Linked DNA regions of Oryctolagus cuniculus. The protein of the gene in region 1 interacts with the protein of each later gene in a pairwise test. Links are inferred from orthologs where the notes say so. Each region holds a gene or a part of one and is shown in the gene's direction. Other genes may lie near its edges.

The links.
Region 2: the proteins of LONRF1 (region 1) and keratin-associated protein 13-1 interact in a two-hybrid assay, tested with the Homo sapiens proteins (2 studies listed by BioGRID). The two-hybrid records come from large-scale screens. The link is inferred for Oryctolagus cuniculus from reciprocal best matches to the Homo sapiens genes LONRF1 and KRTAP13-1.

What each region holds. Positions count from the first base shown.
Region 1 is NC_091433.1:77,989,751-77,993,503, forward strand, and holds the start of LONRF1 (LON peptidase N-terminal domain and RING finger protein 1), read left to right. Parts: upstream 1-891; 5' UTR 892-998; coding exon 999-1,731; intron 1,732-3,753.
Region 2 is NC_091435.1:14,994,553-14,997,109, reverse strand, and holds keratin-associated protein 13-1, read left to right. Parts: upstream 1-1,116; 5' UTR 1,117-1,145; coding exon 1,146-1,697; 3' UTR 1,698-1,998; downstream 1,999-2,557. UniProt on the Homo sapiens protein: In the hair cortex, hair keratin intermediate filaments are embedded in an interfilamentous matrix, consisting of hair keratin-associated proteins (KRTAP), which are essential for the formation of a rigid and resistant hair shaft through their extensive disulfide bond cross-linking with abundant cysteine residues of hair keratins.

The sequences.
Region 1 (3,753 bases):
TGCTGTCAACTTCCAGGAAGTATAACCCATTACCTACAAGTGGGATCATTTCTTTTTGTTCTGTCTGTAAAGCTGCAGACCCAACTCGGGATGTAGGGAGAGAGTACCTGCCGTGGGCAAGGCATCTTTCCTTGGGGAATACAGACTTCCCCCAGCTGGAAGGGGGATACAGCCGGCACCCCAAGAACCCGCGAGCTAGGAAATGAGTTTTGAACTGGAAAGGCCGCGGCCACTTGGCACCAGAAAAAACTGGAGGGAGCTGCGGACTTTTGCGTTTGTGTCTAATGTAGACCGACGGTAGTCGAGTCACGAAGTCGTCAGACGGCACTTGTCGCGGGCCCGCCACCTCTGTAACCTGAGGCATACACCTAAGACGCCACCCTGCACCTGACGACCCGGACTCCGCGCAGGGCGAGGGCGCAGGTCCCCAGCCCGATGGGGCAGTGCGTCGGGGGAGCGCGGGCGGCGTGGGCCTCCGTCCCGCGAGGAGGGGGTCCACTCAGCACAGCAGCGCCCACCGAGCAGAGGCGAGGGAGGGGGCCGCTGCAGGCGGGGTCGTCGGCGGGGAGGCCAGCCCCGGGTGGGTGATAAAGGATCCTTCGGGCTTTGTTTAGTAACACGCCAGGCCCTGCTCTCCCGAGAAACCAATTAGATCCCCGCTGCGGGATCATCTGACCTGCGTCCCCCACCCGCAGGGGGCTCGGAAGGGGCGGGGCTAGGCGGGGCCGGGCCGGCGACTCCTCGGGAACGCGGCCGCGGGTGGTGCGGGGGAGTCCCGAGCGCTGGACCCGGACCTGGGCCCGCCCCTCGGCAGAGGCCCCGCCCCACGCAGGCCCCGCCCCCGGGGCTTCCCGGGCGCGCGCCGCCCCGCCGTGTCCGCGCGCCACGCCCCCCTGCTCGCGGGCCGCGTGCGGAGCCGCGCGCCCCGTAGGCTCTGGGACCGTGGCGGCGGGCGGCGGCGGCGGCGGCGGCGGCGGCGGAGCAGCCGTCCGCGGGCCATGTCTTCTCCGGCCGTGGCGAGGGGCTCTCCGGGAGGGAGTCGGGAGACGGCCCTCAGGCCCCGGAGCCGAGGCCGGTTTTGGGAAGTGGGCGGCGGCGGCGGCGGCGGCGGCGGCGGCGACCAGCTGGAGCGCGCGGCCGCGGAGTCGGAGCGCTGGGAGCTGCTGCTCCGCCGCGGCGAGCTGCTGGCGCTTGGCGGCCACCTGAAGGGAGCGCTGGAGGCGTACGCGGCGGCGCTGCGCCGGGGGGCCCCGGTCAGGCCCGAGTGCCTCGGCACCCTGGTGGACTGCCTGGTGTTCAACTACCGGCTCCGCCACGGGCTGGGCTGGAGCGCGGCCCCGGCTGCCGGCGCGGGTGCGGGCGGGCTGCTCAGCTGCCTGGGCTGCCGCGGCTTCCTCAGCGAGCCGGTGACGGTGCCCTGTGGCCATAGCTACTGCCGCCGCTGCCTGCGGAGAGAGCTCCGCGTCCGCTGCCGCCTCTGCCGGGACCGGCTGCCGCCCGCCGCCGTCGCCAGTGCCGCGGGTGCTGAGGGGACCGGCCCGCGGCCGCCGCCTCTGGCCGCCGCCATCGCGGCCTCGGACTTCAGAACCAGCGTCGTCCTCAACCACCTGGCCGAGAAGTGGTTCCCGGGTCAGCGCGAGCGAGCCCGGGCGGCCGGCCGGCTCGGGGAGCTGCTGCTTCAGGGGCGCTACCGGGAGGCCCTGGCCGCCGCCTGCGAGGCGCTGCGAGCAGGTGACGGCGCGGGGATGCGGCGCGGGCCCGACCGACCCCACCCTCCTTTCCCGGGCGGGCCGGGTACCCAGAGCGGGTCTGCGCCCTGGGGCAGGCTCGCCCTGCTTCCCCGGGGGCCGCTGGGCACTCGGCGTGCGGGATCTCGGGGTGCTCGAGGGTGTGGGAGGGGGCGGCGCCCGGGGTGCTTCGGTCACAATGGGGATCGCCCTGGGAGCCCACTGTGACGCGGCGCGGGGAGGGGCGCGCGGGCGCGGGGTTCCCTCGGCCGCGGCCTGGCGCTCGGGCGCGCGCGCGTGCGGCGCGGAGCTGCGGGCCCCCGGGCCGGAGGCCGCCCTGGCGCGGGATGGGTGGGAGCTGGGGGAGCCCGAGCGGCCGCCCGCTTCCTGCCGCGCTCTTTCCGGGAATTGGCGGCTCGGGCCCGGCAGGGCCGGGCCACCCCGGGGGTGGGAGACGACATCGCGGCGGGGCGGGGATCCCCAGCCGAGGTTGGGCGGGCTAGGTCTACCTTCCCGACCCGCAAAAGTCACCGGGGCAATTGGAAGCCGCGGGAGGGCAGAATTGCATAAGCTGGGGTGGAGGGGCGTTGTGTAACGGGTGACGTCCGGTGGGCGTGGCGGGAGCTCGGCGCCCGCACCCAGTGCCGCGAGGCCCCTCCGGCCGCGGTGGTCAGCTCCTACCTGGAAGTGCCCGCGGAGTGGGTGCATCTTGAGGCGTCCACCTGCTCTTCTCAGGTCACGCCGGTTTCATTGTGCTGACTCCGGAATACGCCCAGCCCAGGGCAGGGATGCAGAGGTAGTCTCTAACCCAGAGTTACCGCCTCGCTTCCGTTCGCCTTTCCACTTAAGATCGAGCCCAGGGGGAAAGGCCGTGTAGGGCTTTTGTCTCTTCCTTTGTCTCCAGGACGCACCCTCGGCTTCCCAACTTCAGTTAGCACTTTTCCCAAGGCGGTTTTACATTGTGCCAGACGCGCCTGTAAAACTTCCGTTAGAAAAAATGAAGTTCTTGGATCAGTTCTTTTACTAGGGGGGGGGTTTCACTACCCCCTCCCCAAGGACATTATCCAGGGCAACATATCTGGCAGTGTCTAGGGACATTTTTGGTCCCCACCTCTTGTAGGCGTGATGCTGGTCCCGGCACTGTGGGCACTGTGCGGCTGACCTGCCACCGCCAAGAATGCAGGCCCCAGACGACCATCAGTGGCACTGTGGGCGACACTTGTATGAAGTGGATTGCAAGATTTTCATGTCGCTGTGTTGGCAGGAAATAATGCTTGGGGGAAATAATCCCCAAGGAAATAGACATGAAATATTAAACTGACTTTGGGTGTTAGGTAAGTTTAGACACTGTGGAACTGAAAATACCCTCCTGTGGGTGCTTAGTCATATTGAACCAGTGACAGTGTCTTGAGTTATTTAGAACCTTCAGAGTTCACAGCACAAACTTGCCATGTTTTTGAGGCCTTTTAGTGTGTCTGTGGAGGAGGCAGTTGTAAAATATGGTAATAGTCTCAGAACAAAAGGAAAATAATTGGGTATTAAATTCTGATACACCTGACTGCCTCTTGTGGGCAAATAAGCCAGAATTGGCTGGATAGAACACCTATCACAGACCATGTGAGAAAGCAAGGGCTGGAGCAGTGCAGTGACTTGCCCCAGTCACACAGCTGGCTGCTTGGAGAGGCAGCTGTGTGTCCCTTTCTAAAGTGGGCCTTGTGTTCATCTGGTCTTTATAGGTCATCCACTCAAGTGCTCATGCACATTTCCCAGGAGGGTTTTCTATCACTAGTATAAAATAGAGGATAAAACTCACCAACAGCACTATTCAGTATCTACGCCTGACATGGTGATATGACATTCTTTTAAATTAGGTTCTTTATAAGCTTTGAGGTCCTATTCCTTGGAAGAATAGTGAACACATTACAGATTTAAGTCTAGCTTCATGTTCTGTGACTAATATTTTTTTGAAAGTTTATTTTGTTTATTTGAAATGCAGAGTGATAGAGACAGAGTGAGCCCTTCCATC
Region 2 (2,557 bases), on another chromosome or scaffold:
ACAGTTCTGGAAACCCAGGAGCATGGTACCAGCTTCCGCTTGATTCTGGTAACTGTCTCATGGCATCATGCAGAGTGTGTGTGAGTGACCACACGAGGGGCAGAGAATCAGAGACGGGAAAGGAGCCAGTCTTGCTCTTTTTATAACACTTTACTTTCATGAGAACTAATCAGGGTCCTACAAGAACTTCCAAAGACAGCACCCGCAATGATCTTCCACTAGCACACCCTTATCAACGTTTCCTCCACCTCCCAACTGCTGCACTGGAGATGGAGCTTCCAGCGCAAGAACCCCTGGGGAGCATTCTCAAACCATATTAAACCAGAGAAAACAGTTTTGAAGACTTAAATGAGGTTGGACCATCCATCCCCAGGGTTTGGGCTCAGGAAAATCCTGCCTTTCCCTCTGCTATTGCTCCTTGTTTCCTATCTCATCTAAATCACATCTACTACATTTTTTCCCTATGCTTACATCCATATCATTCTCTTTTTTGTTTTCACATCATTTTTCTGAATAGTAAATTTGTTCTATATGTTTGTGCAAGATGCTGTTCATTCCTGGTCATCTCTCAATTCCTTTGCCTTGGTTTTATGTGGCATATCTAGACTAAACATAGTAAACACTGATGATAAGTAACAGATGGAAATTATATTGGAGGATTTGAAACAACGCTTTGATGGTGAGGGAGTCTTTAAAAGGTTCCTTATTAAGACCAGATTTCTTCCTCTCAGTCAAGGACCAAGAGGGAGATGGCTGCTTTACAGTCCTCACCCTAGGAAGAAAGAATTCTCCAGCCCAAACAGGAGCAGATTTACATGTCATAGCCTGGGAAAAAACAGGGGCTTTCCTGGCTGTGATGGAGTAGACACTAATTACATACAGTCATAGCATTTATAGCATAAGTGTATTTCACTGACACAGAGCTGTAAAAACAAAAGGAGTTCACCCATAAATACAACATGAAGGGTGTTAGTTTGCTGCAATTACAAAGAAGTTTTACTGAGTGACGTATATGCAAATGAGGGAGTCTAACTATGGAAAAGATGACATTGTAAGTAAAGGGCCACACCCATTGCTGAGAGCATATAAATGTCCCAGTGACAAGTGACATCCAAACTCAGAACCTTCTCCCACCTCCAGTCACCATGCCCTACAACTGCTGCTCTGGAAACTCCTTCTCTCAGTCCTTTGGGGGCTACCTGCGCTACCCAAGGTCTTCCTGTGGCTCTTCCTACCCAAACAACTCGTTCTACAGTGCAGGACTCCAATGTCCCAGCACATGTCAGCCGGGCTCCTCTTTGTACAGTGGCTGTCAGGAGCCTGGCTGTGAGCCCACCAGCTGCCAGACTTCCTATGTGGTGTCCAGCCCCTGCCAGACGTCCTGCTACCGCCGGAGGACCTCCACACTCTGCAATCCCTGCAGGACAATTTACACGGGGTCTCAGGGCTTTGGATCCAGCAGCTGCAACTCCCTGGGCTGTGGATCTAGAAGCTCCTATTCCCTGAGCTGTGGACCAAGGAGCTGCCACTCCTCAGGCTGCGGATCCAGTGGTTTCAGACCCCTGGGTTATAGAGTCCATGGCTTTCCTTCACTGGGTTATGGATCTGGGTTCTGCCGCCCATCCTGCTCAGCCTCTAGGACCTGCCAGTCTTCTTGTTTCCAGCCAACCTGTTGGTCTGGATCCGGCGTCTGTTGATCATCTTATTAAGTTTCTAACGCCATTGACCAATGTCTTTAATGCCTCTATTAATAATTGTTATAGTCTTCCTATTTAGCTTCCTATTTTCTGATTATCAGTTTCTCACCCTGTCTCTGGCATCAAATCCTGGCTGACAGACTTCATCTGAAAATCTGTAATTTGTGTACTAACTCAAAATAAAGTCTAAAGTCTTCATTGGAGATAAAATTTATGTTATAGGATAACTACTCATTATTGTTTGAAAAAACAAATTTTTACTCAATAAATGCATTGATTCTGATTTAAATCTATATTAGATTTGTTTCATTATTTATTTGGTTCTAAAATATTAAAGAAATCATTATGAAATTATCAATGTATCTATACAGATTGGTTTTGAAAATCAATGAGGTGAGGGGCCAGCACTGTGGCATAGTGGGTAAAGCTGCCACCTGCAGGGCAGGCATCCCATATGGACGCCGGTTTGAGTCCCAGTTGCTCCACTTCCGATCCAGCTCTCTGCTATGGCCTGGGAAAGCTGGAGAAGATGGCCCAAATCCTTGGGCCCCTGCTCCCATGTGGGAGAGCTGGAAGAATCTCCTGGCTCCTGGCTTAGGATCGGCTCAGCTCCAACCATTGTGGCCATTTGGGGAGTGAACCAGCAGAGGAAGACCTATCTCTCTCTTCCTCTGCCTCTCTGTAACTCTGCCTTTCAAATAAATAAAGAAATCTTTAAAAAAAAATCAATGAGGTGAGTAAACTGACCAAACTTTTGGAGGCCTCAGATATTTTTATTACTCAAACTACAGGTAGGGGTTGACGTTGTGGCACAGAGTATTAAAGCCCTGGCCTGAAGCACTGGTATCCCATATGGGTGC